Cricetulus griseus: one gene and its partners. The main gene of each other region encodes a partner of the protein of the gene in region 3 in a complex. Links are inferred from orthologs where the notes say so. Each region holds a gene or a part of one and is shown on either strand. Other genes may lie near its edges. The genes, in order: Mbip, Tada2b, Tada3, Kat14 and Taf6l.

Region 1 (4,209 bases), on a different chromosome or scaffold from region 3:
GAACCTGAATATAAAATTAATATCAAAATCAGTCAAAACTTTAGTGGGAGAGGAGAAGCTCCACCTGTAATCACTGACTGAGTATGAAGGAATCCCTATAAACTTTTCTAAGGACACCTATTGTATAAGTACATTGTATAAGTACATACCGCATAGTGGAAGGAAGTTAACTGTATTTTGCAAGAATAATTTATTGGCAACTAGTCATATTTTCCACAAAGTAAAGATACACGTTTCATGAATTCAACTATCAATCTAATGAGTTGTTAAAAATAAAAAACCAAAACGTGAATCACTGTCTACGGAACCAAAGAAATCCCAAGTTCCCAAAGTAAGCACTTTCGTGTACAATGGATACAAACATTTACTGCTGAGACCAGAACCATTTCAAGTCCTTATTTGACAGACATAAAGAAATATGAAATTTTACATAGACTATACTGGCAAAGATAAGCTTACAACTAAGTTAAGATTTGACATTAAGATTAATAAGATTACTGTATTTAATAATGTGTATGAAAGCAATCCATCAGCATGTGTTTACAGTTCTCCAAGAGACATACAGTTGACTATGGCAAATTTAAATGGCTTGAAGAATAAAAAAAACAAGTAATCTTTAAACCTGAGGAAAGCATCACATTCTTTAAAGAAAATAACTATAGAAAAGAAATCTTAATGGCTGGATAATATTCTATGTCAATTCAGCAGAATTATGTAAGTCTTCAAAGGCAACTCAAGATAGTTGGTCTTCCATGAAAAATCAAACAATAATGTCATAATTCAAAAATGACCCCCAAATACATCCAATTTTTCATTCAGCAAATTCCTTTATGCATTTTACCCCATAGCTCTTGACATTCAAATTTTTCTATTAATACACTAGATTAATCAGTTATGAATGTTCAGTAGAAACTAATACAAAAAAAAAAAAAAAAAAAAACAAGCTAACAAATCTTTAGCTTGATAACATGGGCCAATGAGAGGAAAGAAAAAAGGTTAATGTAAGTGTATTTTGCATTTGGAGAAAAAAATACTTTTTACAATTCAGTTTTATACTTTCTTTTGAAAAGCACTAATAATTCAATGATATTTACAATGAACTAATAATTACAATTTACATCTTAAAAATCCTTTTAATTTGTTGCAAAAGGACACAAGTTGCCTAGGGGCAACTTACATGTGTGTATGGCTTAAATCATAATCTCAAAATACACAATAATACTAAAACAGCATTTAATTGATTTAAAAAAAATCTTATATTGACACTTGTATAAAGGTCCCTTTAACTATGTTACATTTGTTGGCAGGTGGCATAAGTTAAGATTGAATCGTTTTTTCCATTTGAACCTTTGGTATAAATTTATATAACTTTGAAAAAATCAATATGCAGAATACTTTAGATGTTCAAATCATTTATCAATGTACATTATTTTTGCAACTTCTAAACACAAAGGCTGAGAATATTTTTCTCATCTGGACATTAGAATATTAATGATTAAGTCTTTAAGTTCCAAATCCATGCCAAAAAGTTCTTTGACTTTTGAACTATTTAAAGATCTGGAATATTATCACTGAAATGTTAATTTAAACAAAGTCTTTAAGACTTGGGAAAAAATTTACTAATGCTCATTAAACAATTGATTTTAAAGTTTTAATTTTAGAAGACCACTATTAACTGCCTCATAACACCGAACTGAATGTACAAATGAAAGTAGTTTGCCAGGCAAAATAAACGTACTAAGGTTTTAAAATTTTTACTAAAATAACTTTTTACAAGATCAATTATTCATCCATCTAAGGGTTTTAAAAATAATTCTCACAAATCAGGTAAATGCCCTATTGTCAGAGGTACCACATGCACTAGACCAGCCCCCAATCAAACTAGGAAACAGTTTGACATAAAATATTTTTAAAAGCAAGCAAACATACTTTTGCTCCTTATTAAAAATAAGCTTCATTATATCATGAATGGCTTTATCTAATAAAGTGAAGGAACCTCCTTTTTAAAATCCAGTTTTACTATGGCATTTCTGTAAGAGCGATTAGTTAATAGTCACACGACACTAGTAAAGACGGTAGAGCTGGTCATACATTCAAATCATCCAACAATTTACACTAAAATCTAGGCACATTACAAGTTAGTTATATTTTAGAAATTCTTACAGCCCCCCGCACCGTTTCAAAGGGTATGACAGATGCAAATAAATGATGAGAAACAAATAAAAACCCAGAGTAAATCACCCCCTAAAGAGTGGAGATGGAGGTAGGAAAAGTTTCAGGCCATACTAACCGACGAATTAAAACAGGGGAGGAAAAACCACAGTCAGCTCCAGGAGCCTCCTTAACCCTGCCATCTCTCATGCATTGATTTTCTGCAAGAGTTCGGCGCCAGGACCCGTGTTTCCTCTCGCCCTCGGTACTCACGCGTGGTCACCGAGTGTGCAGCCGGCCGCTCCCGGCCCCAGGCAACTGGGCTCCCGCTCCTCCCGGTCCCGGCGGCCGCGGCCTCGGCATCCTAGCCGCAGACGCGATGCGGGAGGACTCCGCGACGAGGGAGGACTCCGGAGAGAGGACCGGGATGCTCCCCACCCCCGCCGCACCTTCACTTACCTGCCCAGTCAGGGTGTGCAGGGAACGAAAGAGCTCGCAGAGCACCTCGCGGGTGAGAAGGGGGCTGGAGCTTCGCTCCAGGTTCCTCTCGCTGCAGCTTGAGGCACTGGGCTCCGCAGCAGCAGCCATGACACCTTCGCAGCAGCCCCCAAGCGCGGCCAAGACGGCTCGCCCCCTCCCCTCCCGCGCGGATTCCGTCGCGCTGAGATGACGTAAAACTACCGCGTCTTATTTGGATGTGAGGGTAGGCCCCACTCTCTCTATGTGACAGACAGGCACCGAGACCAATCAAGAGCAAGGCGTCTGAACTCGGAGGTTCTGTGTAGCGCAGGCGGACCCTCTGTTTGGTGATGTTTTGCGTGGGTGGCTATGGCTTAGAAGTCTACCTTGGCTCTTAGACGCTCCCCGTGAGTGCCGGAAGAGCCTTACTGTTAAGTGTTAGAAATTGAGTCCCTCTATTAAAATTTAAAATGTTAACATGGCGACTTGGAGTTGGGACAAGGTTGAGGGTCAGCGATGGAACGGGGCTCACGTGTCTGAATACTGGAAAATTCATACCCAGGATGATCATAACTGGATAGAACATTTTCATCTCTACAGGGTTGTTTGACGCGAAGAATGTAAGAAAAACTGAAAAGCCTACATTATGCCTCCTTTGTCAGGAAACGACATTGATGACTATAACTGTAAAATAGTTTGTCAAGTTTCTAATGCAACAGTTTCTCAGTGGACACTCAATGGACACTCAATCCTAAAATTGTTTCAAATAAATCCAATAGAACTTTAAACCAACTAATTTCATATTAGTCGAAATTGAGATAGAAAACTAAATCGACACTTGCCGGGTATTATTAGATAGCTTTATTATAACGAAAGAGTTATAATTTTATAATGTAGAATTCTGTTAAAATTTTAAAACAAGCTTAAGAGATAAGCTTGGTCTACTGACCATGTTGCAGGACAGCCAGGGCTAGTATACAGGAAGTAGAGGTATGGACCTAAAGTGTATTCTATAGAGTTGAGAAGAAGCTGAATGAAGGAAGAAATAAGGAACCAAGGGACACCGGGATAAGGATAGTAAAAATGAAAGCACTCCTTTGACCTGTCTCTACAGAGCCTTTTACTCAGTTATTTCCAAAGATGTCTGGGATCATCAGACATAGCAAGAAAGCTTGTCTGTGTCCTTGCTAGCAGTAAGATCTGAAGCCGGTAGAACACCTGTTTGGTGACAGAGATTGAAACTCAAATCAAGCAACCCTCTCATTCCAGTCACTTGTCCTTATAACTAAAAGAAATTCACAATTTGTTGTAATGTTAGCACATTTTTGTCTCTGATTCACTTGTTAATGGGGGATAATTGTAATGTGGAATCTAAGAGTCCTTGTTCTATACCAAGTAATGATCTTTGGATTTTTTAGGCAATAGAGGACTTTTATTACACATTTTGAGAGTGATTAAGGTACTGCCCATTCTTTTCTTTGTCATAACTGATTTTGAAACCCAAGCTTTTAGTTTCACAATTTTTTTAGTTGTGTGTGTGTGTGTGTGTGTGTGTGTGTGTGTGTGTGTAGGTGCCCAAAGAGATTAGAAGCAGGGGAT
Region 2 (3,996 bases), on a different chromosome or scaffold from region 3:
AATAAAGCAACCGGTCTAGGAGAGCACAGATAGCAGAGTCACAGAGCCTCCTCTTTCTGTGTGAGGATCAGTGGTTGCATCTCTCAGACCGGCCCTGAGACTCTTGCTGCTTCAGCAGGTAGCAGTCCATGAACTACACACAGGCAGCCAAGTCCCAAGACTCTTCCTCTTGAGCTTTACTTCTTCCAAAGCTGAGCCTGGACCTCATGAGAACCTGCATCTTGACTCAAGTTCCTCTGGCCTTAAAGCCTGAAAGTGCTGCTTCAGAAGAGGCCTTCCCATCCAGCCTGTTTATTCATCCACATTTTACATGCTTCCATGCCTGGGTGCTATGTGCTTCTGACTGTGCTACACCAATGCAGCACAAACACTAGTTGAGGTGCGGACTCTACAGCCCAAGATTTCCTTTCTTTTCTTTAGCAAAATAAAATATAATAAGATAGAATAAAAACCATCACATCGAAGTTGGACAAGTCAAACCAATGAAGAAAAAGAGCCCCAAGAGAAGTGACAAGAATCAGCGACCCACTCGTTCACATACTCAGGAGACCCATAAAAATACTAAACTGAAAGCTATAATATAAATGCAGAGATGTGGTACAGACCCATGTTGGCCCTGTGCTTGCTGCTTCAGTCTGTGAGTTCACATGAGCTGTGCTCACTTGATTACAAGGGCCTTGTCTCTTTGTGTCCTCTTCCCCCCTCTGGCTCTTACACTCTTTCTGCCTCTTCTTCCACTTGGTATAGCCAGCCCAGTTTCAGGAGATAAAACAAGGTCAGCAGTGGGCTCCCCAAAACTAACACTCTCACTCTTTTCAGTGGCTACTCTAGAGATAGTGCTGGAGGAATGATGTGAGGAAGAAACGTCTCTCTGAAGCAATGACACATAAGGACAAAGATCAGTCAGTAGTCTTGACTAGGGTGAAAGCACTGTAGGCAGAAGAAAGGAAAACTCATCAAGAGAGTAAGCATGAGATCACAGGGAACCATAGATGTTGTCAGGCCTTGCAGGCATTGTAATGTAATCTAAGTAGAACTGGAAGTTGCTGAGAGCCAAAGAGATACAGCTTATGTTTCAAAAGACCTGTGTTGGTGTGTGAGAAGAGCTATAGAACACAAGGAGAAAGCAGGTAAACCATGAGATGTTAAAACAGTAAGAGGTAAATGTCAGCGTGGTTCAGACCAGAATTAGCAGCTACATTCGGCACATTTTTAAAAATAGATGACAGCTAAACAACTAGATGTAGATGAAGGTTTTAAGTTGACTCTGTAGCTGAGCACAAAGTGAGGCTGGGTCACCATGGGCAATGATATAGAGAGGAATGGATGTCATCAGGTAGAGACAAGCTAGAGGAACAGAACAAACGAATGCAACATTTTCAGTTCTGAGGCTCTTCTTCAGGGTGTTTCATGCTGCCTGATCTATACAAATCAAATGCTCAATATACACCAACAACACCACTTATAGGCAAAGCAACCAGATGTTTTTGGAGAGCAGGAGTCAAGGTGTTGGCCATCAGGAAAGTATCTGTAAAGTAGAATCTTTCCTAGGTGGGGGAGGTGGGTCCAAAAGGTCACTCACTGCATATGATGACCTGGAATAGTAAGGCAGTATGGCTGGAGTAGGGAAGCTTAGAGAAGCAGTACCCAACCATACCGGGAAAGAGTCTGGACAGAACAGGGTCATACTTAGCTCCCTTTTCTTTGAAAGCCTGAAGATACTATATGTGCCTGGCGGTAATGGTGACAAAGACAGAGTTCTTCCCTAATAAAGGTGAGGAATAGAAGGAAAGCTCCTTAGAGATCCCTAGAGAACAACCAGGAGACCAGCACACTATCTGGCTGGCACACCAAAGCTCCTGCCACCAGCAAGACACATCTACTGAAACCTGACAGCTAGAAAGCAGACTCCTGGTTACATGCCTCCTCACTGAGAGGCCTTTGTTCATTCTTTACTGGCCACCTCTCACACTATGTCCTGGGTGCTGTAGAGAGCAAGAATTAAACAAGGCACTGCTACCCACGGAGAACCCTAGCTCAGGTCACATGCTGACACCCACAGAAAGCACTCGAAGCCCTGAATGCAGACTAAGTGCATGCGGGATGGGCAGCCCAGGCTTCTAGCCTTCCTCATCACTGTGCCCAGGAGAACCCAACCCTACCAGGGAACTCAGAAGGGACAGCAGGGTCTCGATTGCTGCCATCTGGCTCGAGTAGAAGCTTGGCAAGGTACAGGGCCTGCCCTCCGCCTGCGTTCAATGCACACATTCTGAGGACGAGTGTGAAGGGCAGACAGCTCGGTGTAGGGGCCACGGGTCAAGGCTCTGCTCTACCAGCTGTGTAGCCATGGGCGCCCAGCATTCTCTGGGCGATCCCGTCCGGCCACCTGCGGCCCGCCGCAGCGTGCACCAAACCAGCCAGCCATGCCTTCCTTCTAGTCAGGGCCCGCCGCTCACCCAGTTGCCGAAGCCGAACTGCTCGATGGCGTCCAACAGCAGCTGCTCCTCGCGGCTGGTCCAGCCGCCCTCCGCCTCAGGCCCCCAGAGAGTGAATCGTCCACCGTCCACCAGCTGGTAACCGTGGTAGCGGCGGTGGTGGCCGATCTCCGCGCCAGCCGAGAAGCACTCGGGGCACAGCTCGATGTCCTGGCACTCGGTGCAGCGGAAGCGCAGCGGGCTCACCTCGGCCAGGCAGTACACGCAGTACTTCTTACCCAGCTCCGCCATCTTCCCCCGCTCGCCCGCCGCCCGGCCCGCAGTCGCCGCGCCTCCGGCCGTCAGCGCCCCGCCGCCTGTCGAGCCCACTGCGCCCACCGCGCCCGCGCTGCTGCCGGCCGCTGCCACGGCCGTCCCCGCCCAGGCGCCGCCGGAGCCCGCCAGGCGGGCCGCGTCCCGCCTCAGCACGCAGGCGCCCTCCGGCCCGGCCCGGCAGCCGCCGCCGTCGCCGCCGTCTCCCCGCCGCATCGCGCAGGCGCCCCGCGCGCGCCCTCTTGCGGGCAGCCGAGCCTCCGATCTGCGCCTGCGCGCCGCTGCCTCCCTCCGCCTCATGGACTCACGAAGCCGTAAGGCCCCGCCCCAAACCTGACAGCCGGCAAGGCGCAGACCGGAAGCCGGTCTGCTGCGCCACACCTCTCAAGAGACAGTGTCCAATCAGCGCTTACATTCACCTGTTCGTTGTCCTTCATTGGCTTAATATTGCTGGGAGGCGGAGAGAAAAGGAAGGCGGACGACCAATCGCGGGGCCCACCGCGCGCGCCCTGGTTGCCCCGGGAAACCTAACAGCAGGCGGCCGCGGTCCTCAGACCTGAGACTGCGGGTCGAGCATGGACAGCCACGACGGGGATACCGAGGGCGAAGGAGGAACTGAGGAAGCCCCGACCAGGCAGTCGTCCGAGACCAAGGTCAGCTCCGAACCTGAACCTCAGACCCCGGCCGACCCTGCGGAGCCGGAGCCAGAGCCCGGGCCGGAGCCGGAGCCGGAGCCGGAGCCGGAGCCGGAGCCGGAGCCGGAGCCGGAGCCAGAGCCAGAGTCTGAGGCGGAGACCCAACCTGTTGCGGACGACACTGAAGCAGAGGTTTTGGAGGGGAGTGATGACGCTCATGTCGAGGAAAGTCTGGAGGCCGCTACGGCTGCGAGCGAGACAGCAGAGGCTGCGAGCGAGGCCGTGTCCCGAGAGCCAGAAAGTCTGTCAGAGCCGCATCCCGAGACCGAGCGGGAGTTCCAGGAGGGGGACGAAGACGAAGACGAGGATGAAGACGAGGACGAGGACGAGGATGAGGAACCCGCCGGGCGGGAGAAGCAGGACAAGGTGAAGAAGGTGAAGAGCAAGGAGTCACGGTTCCGGCCCTCCCTGCCACTGACCACGATCGTCGAGGAGGCGGCTGCTCCAGCCCCACAGGCTGAGAAAGAGAAAGCAAAGGAGTCAGAGCAGAAGCGAGGTAGCGAGGAGATCCGGGCGACAGGTCGAGAACAACACAAGAAAAGCAAAGAGGATGA
Region 3 (3,511 bases):
TTAGATCACTTTCCAATGAAGAATTTGTCCCATGAGTCCATCTGACTGCAGTGGAGCCTGGGAAATGTAGTGTAGCTCAGCTGCTGTGGAGGAAAAAACAGTGCTAGGTTATTTCCTTGTCACTGTTTCTCTTGTGTCCCCTTCTTTTGCTGTCCATATTCCCCTCCCCTCAATAAAAGAATTTCTATAATGATCAAAGCTTTGGAGGAAGCTTTTTTTGTTTTTGTTTTTTGAGACAGGAGCCTGTCCTGGAACTTACTCTGTAGACCAGACTGGCTTCGAACTCACAGAGATCTGCCTGCCTCTGCCTCCTCAGTGCTGGAATTGGAGGAAGCTTTTTAACATGAGTGGGATGAAAAGATGGCAGACTATTTCTATCTAGCCTATAAAGACTGTGTATGTCAGAGAGGAGCATTAAAACAGGGATTCTATTGCTTCCTCCTTCTAACCTATCTCTGGTCTTCAGGAAAATATTATTTCCCCTATGGAGGACTCTCCTATTCCTGACATGTCTGGGAAAGAATCAGGGGCTGATGGCGCAAGCACCTCTCCCCGAAATCAGAACAAACCCTTCAGGTGAGTGACATACCATCTGCACTCTGGGCGTGACTGTCAGCTTCTCTCTGTCTTCTTAGGGGGGCATGCTTTGTAAACAGAGGCTGGGGCCATTTGACCATGCACAGACATCTGGCTATACAGATGTTTGCACAGCACATGGAAGTGCTGGCCTCGATTCTGGACAGGCTTAGTACAGACTTGATCATACCTTTGCCTTTCCTGGAGATAACCCAAGTGTCCAGCTGAAGGGAATGGCTAGTTGAGTGCTAAAACTGCATAAGAAATAACTTGTAACTGCTAATCATTACAGAAATATACTTGACATGAAAGAATTAAAACAGAGTACCAAATGGGGGGAAAGGAGTAATCCTATTTGTACTTAAACTATATTTAAGAGTTACATATAGTTTTAAAAAATCTTGGAAATATATATCATAAAAGATTGCAACTCACACATAACAAGGCCTGAAACATATATGTGTGGCTATATGGGTTCACCTTGCCAGACTGGGATCCTCTGAGGGCCCTCCAGCTGGCGCTCAGAGCTCAGGTGCTGGCCTTGCCTACAGTGTGCCCCACACCAAGTCCTTGGAGAGCCGCATCAAGGAGGAGCTGATTGCACAGGGCCTCCTGGAGTCCGAGGACCGGCCTGCTGAGGACTCAGAGGATGAGGTCCTCGCTGAGCTGCGCAAACGGCAGGCTGAGCTGAAGGCACTCAGTGCACACAACCGCACCAAGAAGCATGACCTGCTGAGGTGAGTGAGCACTGTGCCAGGGACTAGCCCTATCCCCCAGTTGGATCTCTGATGGATGCTAAGTCCAGGGACAGGGCTCTAGCACCCACAACTGACATATGGATGGGTCTGTGAATATGAGTGCAGGTGTCTGTGGTGTCAGCTGCCCTGCAGTTGATGAAGTTACTGGTTTTTGCCAGACGCCCAATGTAGGTGCTGGGAACTAAACCCCAGTCCTCTGCAAGAGTAGTACACACTTAACCACTGAGCCATCTCTTCAGCCCTGACTCCATTGATAAGCATAATTTAGTAATATTTACAGTGTTAAGTTGCTTTTGTTTTTTTTTTTTAAATGTGTGTTTTCTTTCTTTTTTTCAAGACAGGGTTTCTCTGTGTAACCTTGGCTGTTCTGGAACTCACCCAGTAGACCAGGCTGGCCTCAAACTCACTGAGATCCACCTGCCTTTGCCGCCCAAGTGCTGGGATGTGCTACCTCCACCACTACCTGGCTGTGTTTTCTTTTTCTTTATGGTATTATTCAATCAAAATACCACAGAGGCACTGGGAAGATCTGCAGTGGGGAAAATGCTTGCCACCAAGCCTGACCTCTTGCGTTCAGTCTACAGCACCCACATGAAAGCTGGCCACAGCAGAACATATCTGTAACCCCAGTGCTTGGGTGGGCAGAGAGGCAAGCCTAGCAGAATAGGCCATTTCTCAGTGGGTAAAGGCACTTACCACCAAGCCTGGCCACTTGATTTCAATCCCTAAAACCTAAAACCCAGATGATAGAGAAAGAAAACCAACTCCTGCAAGTTGTCCTCTAGCCTCCACATGCACACCATGGCATATAACCCTCTAGTGAATACCTAAGCTACAGGAAAAATAAATAAGGCGAAGCATGATAAAGAAAGATCCAGTATCAACCTCTGGCCTCCACATGCATGCACATATACATGTGCAATATGAAGACGTATACATATAACATACATAAAAAACATCATAGAGAAAATAATGAATATCAGTATGCTCAGACATATGAGTTGCTAATGTTCTCTTAGCTGTCTATGGCTTTGATTGGCTGGTCACCCCACACTTACTAGTGTCTTAGAATCAGTCATAGTGTCATTCATTTTATATCAACTCCCATCTGACTTTCCTTGCACTGGTGACAAGGGTAGAGATTACATGTGAAGGGCATTGGTAGGAGCTGCCCTTTTGTTAGCACTCAAGCAAGACTTCTTGTTCCTCTTAGAGCCTTGACAAAGCAGGTTCTTGATTACCTGGCTAGCTCTTACTGTGTCTGACCTGGTGCTGGGCCAGGAAGAAGGCAGAAGGAGACTCCTGTTCTCTTAGGTGGTCGGAGGAGACACGCCATTCAGAGGGGAGGGGCAGCTGCTGCTGAGCTTTATGGGGATCTGAGGATAAAGAAACCATGGTGCCCACTGTCTGCTAGGGTCTTGTGTACCTTCTTTCTTCTAAGACAAGCAAGCTGGGAGGTGGTAGCACACACCTTTAATCCCAGTACTTGGGAGGCATAGGTAGGCGGATCTCTGAGGCCAACCTGGTCTACAAAGAGTTCCAGGATAGCCAGCAATGTTACACAGAGAATCCCTGTCTCAAAACAACAACAAAATAAAAAGTTCCCTTTCAAGGGCAAGGAGCAGCAAGGGTAGGACCAAACGAGATTAAAAACAATGCTGTGTAGTTCCAGAGGTATGGCTTGCTGTGGAAATGTTTTGGTGCTGAAGCTCAGCCCTGGGCCCTGCTGTGCTCCAGCTACTGGACTGTGGGCAAGGTACTTTGGGCCCAAGCAACAAGGATTAGATTTCCTAGAGACCTTCAGCTCCACCATCAGTGGGACTGAGTCAGATCCCCACAGGATTGAAGAAGCTCAGTGCAGCTGTGCACATCTGTAATTCTAATAAGCAGAGGGGAATGAGAGCCGGGATTGTGAGGAGGCTCAGTTTGGAAGAGGATGATAACTGGAGATTGGATAACCATGATACTTGGCCCCCATAGGTTGGCAAAGGAGGAGGTGAGCCGGCAGGAGCTGAGACAGCGGGTCCGCATGGCAGACAATGAGGTCATGGATGCCTTTCGCAAGATCATGGCTGCCCGGCAGAAGAAGCGCACCCCTACAAAGAAGGAAAAGGACCAGGCCTGGAAAACCCTGAAAGAACGAGAGAGCATCCTGAAGCTCCTGGACGGGTAGCATC
Region 4 (4,034 bases), on a different chromosome or scaffold from region 3:
TAGCTCTTGTAGAGTTCGCCACCACCGCCTAAAACTAGCTCTTGGTCTCGAACTCACAGAGATCCACCTGCCTCTGCCTCCCTAGTGCTGAGATTAAAGGTGTGAACCACCACCGCCTGGCTTAGAATTAAAGTTTTTAAAGTGAAAAAGTAAAAATAATAATCTCATGAAGTTTCTGTTAAAAATGTACTCTTGTGAGCTACAAACTATAAAATATTTGTAATAGTGACTAAGTGGAGATTTTAAATTTCATGCTAGGCCAGGGTTCACACTCTGAGATTCTGTTTTTAGAGTTTATCAAGGTAATGACCATTGAGGAACTTACTTTTTCACTGATAATAGTCCTTTTTTTTTTTTCAAATTTTTAATCAAATTGATTGGAAATTTTATGTCTCTGACTTTTCATGATAGAAGCCCATTATTTTCTCACATTCTTCCTGTCTGTTTTTTCTCTTGATGTTTGTTGTCTGTCTCAGGTCATTGATTATAGGAAGGTAGTTCACAGTTTTGCTGTACCAACTCATCACCTTTTAGAAGTATCACTTAGCAATTACATTTATAAAATCCAACAGAGTGTCTGTTTTATTATTAATTCCCACTAAGTTTTCTGTGTTCAGGGATTTCTTAAAACGTGGTAAGAAGTCACTTCAGTATTAGCATAACACATTACATGATTTACTTGGTGGTTTCTTTATTTACAATGTACAGAAGTTAAAATAGTAATTGGGTATTTGGAATCGGAACATTTTGAGTGTATTTTGGTGGTGCTGTTATTTAGATTTGGAGGCACAGGATGGGAGCCACCTGTTCAGGGGGTAACTAAAATCTGCTTCTTACGTTTTTAGAGGCTTCGTGACGGAGTGATCAGAGACATTGAGAGGCAGAATCAGAAAAAAGAAAACATTCGTCTTTTGGGAGAACAGATTATTTTGACTAAGCAACTTGAAGCAGAAAGAGAGAAGATGTTGGAAAGAGGATCTCAAAACACTTGACTGTGAAAATTGATGGGGCAGTGCTGGGTGTATGTGTGTGTGTGTATGTGGGTGTGTGTTGATAGAGAATAGCTAGTGAAAGCCGTCCCCTCCCCCATCACTGTCCATTTAAACTTTATTAAATAAAGGACAGTGGATCCTGTCTTCTAAATAATTCTTTTAAGAGTCTGTTCTGTCTGGATAAAGTACTCGTGGGCAGATGCTCTTCTGAAGTTGTCTGGGGGATTCTGCAGCAGTCCCTGTCAGCTTAGGTGTGCTTGTGAGCAGGGAATGATGGAGAGTAACATCCACCTGAGTGGTCTGCTCAGTCGGCATGATGATGAAGCCACAAGAACATCCACCTCAGAAGGGCTGGAGGAAGGTGAGGTGGAGGGAGAAACTCTCCTAATTGTTGAATCAGAGGATCAGGCGTCAGTGGACTTATCTCACGACCAGAGTGGGGACTCGCTTAACAGCGATGAAGGAGATGTATCATGGATGGAGGAGCAGCTGTCTTACTTCTGTGACAAGTGCCAGAAGTGGATCCCAGCCAGTAAGGAGCTTCTCAATTCCTTTGATCGGTCGATCCCTGTGTGATGGTTTGTTTTCCAGTCTGTGAAAAACACTAATAAAATAGACTTGAAAAAAAGATAATTATATTTATTATTACTAGTGTAGTTTACCAAATGTAAATTTGTATCAAACCACATTATTTTGTTTTTAGTTTTTTAAAGACTCATTTGTTTTATATGTATGTGTATGTGCCTGAGTGTATGAGCACCATGTTCCTGCAGTGCTTGCAGAGGTCAGAGGAGAGGAGCTGTAATTACACATGGTTGTAAGCCACTGTGTGGGTGCAAGGAACTGAACACACATCCTCTGCAAGGGTAGTAAGTGCTCTTAACTGCCAAGCCAGCTCTCCGGCCTCACAAAACCATATTTGTATTAATTAAAATTGTCAACCACTATCCCATTGTTAAATTAACATTCAGGGTGGTAGCCCAAGAAAAACTAGGAATCCTATGTCACTTAAGGAATTGGCCATATTTTTCTAAGATTATGCTGTGGGTTGAGGGACACATTCTGTTGTTGCCAGTATAGAATTAAAGGTTCAAGTTCACATAACTTACCGTGTTAATTTGACATTTGTGGAAACTGCTGTTCTCTTCTGATGGGAGGTAAGAATTGGCAGTGCAAAGGTGTTTGCTTCCTGCCTTTGGTCCAGGTTTATTTTCTACTGTGGGCCTTTTATCTGCTGGAAGGAGTCACAATGCACAGATCTTGAGGTTTCTGGCTGCCTGTTTCATAGCATGCTTTGTCAGCCATCATGATTCTTACCTACACAGCATTTTCCATTAGGCAAGAGACAGAAGGCATGTGCACTGGAGGAACACTTTGTGTAAGGGTTCATAGTTGGTGAAATGGAGGTATTAATTCACTTAGCAAAGTTGGTTATTTTCTGGTATGTAGAAGCTTTTGTTAAAAATGGATCCAATTGTTCAAATTAATAGCTACTATAAATAGGTTAATAGTAACAGTTCATAGAAAACAAACCTAGAATTGACTACCGTTTTTGATTCTCAGCTATCTAGTAAAGCTGGGTTCCACTCCAAATTTCTGGCTTTCCTGTTGTCCTCCCAGGGTAAATTTTAAGGTGACTTTCATGATTGGTCTCTGCTAACTTTTTCAGGGAGGTAGGTGAACATTTCATTCTTTCTAAATAACGCTTGGTTCCTAGGACTTTGTACCTTTTTGTTTTCTCTGGAATACTCACCTGGACTGCTTCCCTGCACTCCTGATCCACATGCAACCTTCCCTTGGGCCCAGGAGACCCCTCTTCCCTCCCTAGTGGGGTTGGACATCTCTTTTTCTTCCTATGCCTTACACTGCCCAGTGATGTATATTATAGTCTACTCTGGAAGTTTTCATGGTACACAAAGCATCAGCATCACCTAGGAGCTTTAATGTAGAGCCCAGACCCAGGCTCAGAGGCAAGCATTTCATCTGGGGCAGACAAGGCCATAGCAGGGATATTAAGCCCAGCCACCTGGTGATTCTGATGCTCCACGAGAATCCAGAATCAGTGCAGTTGTGCATACCTGTGTTCTCTGCTGCCTCCAGATTTATGAGTCCATGAGAACAGGCGCTGGTCATGTCTGCCTTAGACATTGCATATCCAGCTCCTAGCCTGGTGCCTGGCTGGTAGTACAAGCTCAGGTATTCCCGGAAAGAATGTTTGAAGAGACCTGCCTAGAGGAGTCAGGAATGTGGCTACTGGGAAATCCAGTTAGAGCAATCTTACCTGCTTTTCCAGGACCTTTCTCCTGAAAAGCTAAGGAGCCACGGGTTCTAGGAGGGGCATGTGCCTGACTTTAGAAGGAGAAACACCTTTTTTCCTCTCCTCTGCTACTGTCCTGGGTTGGCTGCAGAAAACAAAAAAGCCTTCCATGGGAAACTTGGAAATCTGGTCAATTAACTGAGCCTTTGGGTTGCCACTGCATGAGATAAACCCATGATGTGACTTTTGTTTTTGTATTTGTTGTTGTTTTTTTTTTTCCCCATAGGTCAGCTGAGGGAACAGCTCAGTTACCTTAAGGGCGATAACTTTTTCAGGTTTACTTGTTCCGATTGCTCAGCAGATGGCAAGGAGCAGTACGAGCGGCTGAAGCTGACGTGGCAGCAAGTGAGTACCAAGCGCTTCTCTTAGATGCAGCAGGTTGGATGCCCAAGAAATTGGAATGATTATCTGGAGTGGTTTGGGGGTGGGGTGCTTCACACTTCACAATGAAAAGGGGTACATTGTGTGGAAAGAACACTTCGTGGCTTAAAAAAAAAAAAAAAATCCTCACTCCTGATTTATTGAATTCTTGAGAATCTGAATCAGTTTCGTTTGTGTCATACCAAGCTTAGATTCAACTGAAAACCAGGCCCACATTTTCTGGCAGTCATTTCTGGCATAATAAAACCAGAGGTGGCTACACTGGAAATAGATTTGGCAGAAACAGTTTGACTTGATAACAAAGACAAAGTAACAACTGGTTTAGCCTTCCTGCATTTGCACTT
Region 5 (4,291 bases), on a different chromosome or scaffold from region 3:
CGGCCCACGCTAGAAAGGCTATGCATGCGCCGTCTATCTGCAAAACTCACTGCTTCTTCCCTTGTGTTCTGTGTGTCTACATGTGGCTACCTTTCAATTCCTTATTTCAAGGCCTCAATCCATTCTGCTGCTTCTGTCTGACACTCTCCTTCTTTGTTGTTCTCCCCAAATCTCGATCAATCACTTACCCCCTTCAGATCATAGTTCAGATGTCACTTGCTAAGGAAGCTCTTCCCAGATTGTGTAAATGTCCCCATCATTTGTTTTTAAAGCAACTCTGAGGCAGGAGCATGGATAGTTCAAAGCCCACTTGAACTATGAAGTGAGTTCAAGGTTACCCTAACAACTCAGACTATCTCAAAATAAAATGTAAAAAGAAGACTGGAGCTGAAGTGATGGTGCACACCCTTAATCCCAGCATTCAGAAAGCAAGGCAGATACATCTCTGAGTTCGAGACCAGCCTGGTCTACAAGAGCTAGTTCCAGGACAGCCTCCAAAGCCACAGAGAAACCCTGTCTCGACAAACCAAAAAAAAAAAAAAAAGAAAGAAAGAAAGAAAAGAAAAACTAAAACACACACACAAAAAGAAAAGAAAAGAAGTAAAGAAGCCAGGCATTGGTGGCTCACGCCTTTAATCCCAGCACTCAGGAGGCAGAGGTAGGCGGATCTCTGAGTTCCAGGCCAGCCTGGTCTACAGAGCGAGTTCTAAGACAACCTCCAAAGCAATACAGAGAAACCCTGTCTCAAAAAAAAAAAAAAGAAAGAAAAAAAAATTAAAGAAAGAAGACTGAAGATACAACTCAGTTGTAGAAATATTTCCGAGCATGTGTGAGCCCTAGGTTCAAACAGTCTGTAACTACACAGCTGCATAGCTTTTGTGTATGAGTTTACAGAAGACAACCTTGGGTAACATACCCCCTGAGGAGCTGTCCACTTTATTTTTTCAGACAGGGTCTCGCACTGGAACCTGAGGTCCACAGATTAGCTTAGGCTGGCTGGTCAGCAAGCTCCAGGAACCCACCACCTATCTTGGCATGCTGGGGCGGGCTGCAAGCTCACTACACACAGCTTTTCGCCATCATTCCCACTCTTTTTAAAGCGGCACTGGGGACCAGCGTGTGGTCCCTAGTAGACTGTAAGCTGCACACCAGCAAAGATCATGGTCTGTGTGCTCACCTTTGCATCCCAAGCGACCAGCAATGTCAGCACATATTATGCCTTCATTAACACCTGCTGAAAAAAGAAAGAGCAGGTATTCATTTGTTTTGGAGACAAAGTCTCTCTATTTAGCCCTGGAACTCTCTCTGTAGATCAGGCTAGCCTCAAACTTCCTGCCTCTGCCTCCCCAATGCTGGGATTAAACATGTGCACCACTACTCCTGGCCTAGAATAACTATTTTTCTTTTTTTTTTCTTTAACTTATTTTTATGTGCACTGGTGTTTTGCCTGTGTTATGTCTGTGTGAGGTGACAGATCCCCTATAACTGGAGTTATAGACAGTTGTGAGCTGCCATGTGGGTGCTGGGAATCAAACCTGGGTCATCTGCAAGAGCAGCCAGTGCTCTTAACTGCTGAGCCATCTCTTCAGCCCAGCTATTTCTCTGCCGAATTTTAAAAAATATGTCTTATTTATTTTGTTTGGTTTTTTAAAGATTTATTATTTTATGAATGAGTGCTCTGTCTGCATGTACACCTTTATGCCAGAAGAGCGCATCAGAATCCCACTACAGATGGTTGTGAGCCACTACGTGGTTGCTGGGAATTGAACTCAGAATCTCTGGAAGAGCAGCAGTGCTCGTAACCTCTGAGTCATCTCTCCAGCCCCCAGCTCTAAGCACATAAATGTTTGTGGCTTCCAAGTAGCAACACTCTATGACCTCCTCCTATCCTCGCTAACAAGATAGATAGTGTACATTTTTGTCTAGTTTACAAAGCCACGAGAGATAGCTCAGAAAGGTTACCTAGATTGTCCAAGACAAGCCAGCAAGCATTGAGTAATTAGATGTCAGGGACTCAAACCCTTGTTTTAAATTAACTCAGATGCTGGGCAGTGGCGGCGCACGCCTTTGATTCCAGCACTCGGGAGGCATAGGCGGGGGGGATCTGTGAGTTCGAGACCAGACTGGTCTCAAGAGTGAGCTCCAGGACAGCCTCCAAAGCCACAGAGAAAACCTGTCTCGAAAAACCAAAATATACTCAGGATGCTATATATATACCAGGAGCAGGCTTATGTTTGAACTAGGCCTGGCTTTGTAACCCAAGTCCCACCTTTAGATTCACCACTGGATGGGATGAGTACCCTTCAGTTTTCCCATCTGTAAAATGGGAGCACTCAGTCGTGAGCATTTGAAAAGCCAGTAGGGAGTTGCTCTATTATGTTCCCCTATTGAGACCTCAAAGTCCTGACTGTGACCAAGGTCTTGCACAGCCTCAGTTCCCAGTGCTGACCAGGAAGCGTGAGAACCGGCCTCCTCGGGCCTGTGGGTTGCGCATCCTCCGACCCACCTTCATCCCAGATCCAGAGGGCGTGGGGTGGAGTGGGGAGGTCAAGGGTTACGGAACTTGTGTCACGTGCTCGGTGAGGCGGGCGGGCGGGCCCCCGCGGGCCCCGAGGCTGGTGAGCAGCCCAGCACGGACGCGAAGAAGCCTGCTCACCTGCGGACTCCGGCGATGCGAGGACCCTGCCTACCGGGGAGGCGGCGGAGGCGGCGGCGGCGGCGGCGGCTTCCACTCACCGGCTCTCGCTAATTCCCTCTCTCGGAGCCCAGGCTCCGCCCTCAGTACGCGGAGCCAATCGGCAGCTGTCTCCTGAGCTTCCCGCCCACCAGCGGCCGTCCCGCCTCAGGATTGGTCAGTGTGAATATGTGGAGAAGGCACCGAGGCGTCGTTGGTCACGTGAATAGCGCTTCTTAAAGCAGCAGCTCTTGTTTGGCTAGCAGGTGCTGTGCCCGGGGTTGCCTGGAGTTAACACCTTCTCCATAGAGACAGTCCTCCATCCCTTGAGTCGGCTATCCCAGAGTATACAAGTTTTTTGGATCACAGTAAAGCTTTCGGTACATGACTTAGCTTAATGCCCCCAACAAGCCGGGCGTTGGTGGCACACGCCTTTAATCCCAGCACTCGGGGGGCAGAGGCAGGTGGATCTCTGTGAGTACAAGACCAGCTTAGTCTACAGAGCGAGTGCCAGGATAGGCTCCAAAGCTACACAGAGAAACCCTGTCTCGAAAATAAATAATAATAATAATAATAATAATAATAATAATAATAATAATGCCCCCAACAGCAACTGCTACTTTTTCCCCTTCCCAGAAGAATAGATGGGGGCCCAGGAGATGTTTCCCCGTGGACAGAAGGGACCTCTGGCCGGGTGTGGTGGTGCACACCTTCAATCTCAGCACTGAGGAAGCAAAGGCAGGAGGATTTTTGTTTGTTCGAGACCAGCCTGGTCTACACAGAGAGTCTGAAGCCAGCTTTGGGGGTGGGAGGCACATCGTGAGAAGCAAAAATCAGAAGGTACAGCCAGGCGATAGTTGCACACGCCTTTAATCCCAGCACTCTGTGAGTTCGAGGCCAGCATGGTCTACAGAGTGAGTCCCAGGAAAGGAAGGGAAGAGGGAGGGGAGCCCTGACTACACTTTATCTTGCATAACCTGATTATCATACAGAGAATTCCACCGTCTAATGAGCAGATTTACACTTTCACAAGTTTGACCCCTAATAGCACATGCCTGCATCGGACAGATGGCCAGTCCCAACTGCAGGCATCCCACTCTGTAAAAGTTAGTCCTCAACAATGTCATGTCACCTAAGCAAGATGGAGCTCCCTCCCACAAGTGTCCCACCTGTCAGACCTAAGAAATTTCCATTAAACCCTGTAAAGAGCTAACACTGGGAACACATTATGTCAGGTGCAATCTTTGAATTCCCACACCTCCAGCGTTGGTGGTGTCTCCTGTTAAATCTTCCATTTCTGTCAGTCTGGTCTTTGGTGAATACATTCAGTCAGTGTGTCATTGGCTTGCCAACATGGTCCCCCGCACAGAAGTATCCTCTCACTCCCCAGATACCTAGTGCTTGCAAAGATCAAATTGCTTTATTTCAACCAGGTGGCGGTGGCAGCCGCACACTTTTAATCCAAGCACTAGGGAGGCAGAAGCAGGCAGATCTCTGTGAATTCCAGGATAACCAAGGCTACACAGAGAAACCCTGTCTCAAAAAAAAAAAAAAAAAAAAAAAAAAAAAAAAAGAAGAAGAAAAATTGCTTTATTTCAGACATTCACTAGGCATGTT

Evidence for each region.
Region 1: Tada3 (region 3) and Mbip share a complex: the UniProt entries of both Homo sapiens proteins name them as parts of the ADA2A-containing complex. The link is inferred for Cricetulus griseus from reciprocal best matches to the Homo sapiens genes TADA3 and MBIP.
Region 2: Tada3 (region 3) and Tada2b share a complex: the UniProt entries of both Homo sapiens proteins name them as parts of the TFTC-HAT complex. The link is inferred for Cricetulus griseus from reciprocal best matches to the Homo sapiens genes TADA3 and TADA2B.
Region 4: Tada3 (region 3) and Kat14 share a complex: the UniProt entries of both Homo sapiens proteins name them as parts of the ADA2A-containing complex. The link is inferred for Cricetulus griseus from reciprocal best matches to the Homo sapiens genes TADA3 and KAT14.
Region 5: Tada3 (region 3) and Taf6l share a complex: the UniProt entries of both Homo sapiens proteins name them as parts of the STAGA transcription coactivator-HAT complex. The link is inferred for Cricetulus griseus from reciprocal best matches to the Homo sapiens genes TADA3 and TAF6L.

The regions. Positions count from the first base shown.
Region 1 is NC_048598.1:146,084,861-146,089,069, reverse strand, and holds the start of Mbip (MAP3K12-binding inhibitory protein 1), read right to left. Parts: upstream 2,803-4,209; 5' UTR 2,740-2,802; coding exon 2,611-2,739; intron 1-2,610. UniProt on the Homo sapiens protein: Inhibits the MAP3K12 activity to induce the activation of the JNK/SAPK pathway. Component of the ATAC complex, a complex with histone acetyltransferase activity on histones H3 and H4.
Region 2 is NW_023276807.1:105,487,185-105,491,180, forward strand, and holds the start of Tada2b (transcriptional adapter 2-beta), read right to left. Parts: upstream 2,811-3,996; 5' UTR 2,727-2,810; coding exon 2,457-2,726; intron 1-2,456. Other genes in the region: Ccdc96 (coiled-coil domain-containing protein 96), read left to right, coding at 3,323-3,996. UniProt on the Homo sapiens protein: Coactivates PAX5-dependent transcription together with either SMARCA4 or GCN5L2.
Region 3 is NC_048601.1:31,429,579-31,433,089, forward strand, and holds part of Tada3 (transcriptional adapter 3), read left to right. Parts: exon of another isoform or gene 1-83; intron 84-466; coding exon 467-576; intron 577-1,127; coding exon 1,128-1,313; intron 1,314-3,314; coding exon 3,315-3,507; 3' UTR 3,508-3,511. UniProt on the Homo sapiens protein: Functions as a component of the PCAF complex. The PCAF complex is capable of efficiently acetylating histones in a nucleosomal context. The PCAF complex could be considered as the human version of the yeast SAGA complex.
Region 4 is NC_048599.1:34,630,521-34,634,554, reverse strand, and holds the start of Kat14 (cysteine-rich protein 2-binding protein), read left to right. Parts: upstream 1-1,233; 5' UTR 1,234-1,262; coding exon 1,263-1,524; intron 1,525-3,535; coding exon 3,536-3,654; intron 3,655-4,034. Other genes in the region: protein PET117 homolog, mitochondrial, read left to right, coding at 846-992. UniProt on the Homo sapiens protein: Component of the ATAC complex, a complex with histone acetyltransferase activity on histones H3 and H4. May function as a scaffold for the ATAC complex to promote ATAC complex stability. Has also weak histone acetyltransferase activity toward histone H4.
Region 5 is NC_048596.1:51,305,602-51,309,892, reverse strand, and holds the start of Taf6l (TAF6-like RNA polymerase II p300/CBP-associated factor-associated factor 65 kDa subunit 6L), read right to left. Parts: upstream 2,805-4,291; 5' UTR 2,657-2,804; intron 2,563-2,656; exon of another isoform or gene 2,507-2,562; intron 1,235-2,506; 5' UTR 1,186-1,234; coding exon 1,178-1,185; intron 1-1,177. UniProt on the Homo sapiens protein: Functions as a component of the PCAF complex. The PCAF complex is capable of efficiently acetylating histones in a nucleosomal context. The PCAF complex could be considered as the human version of the yeast SAGA complex.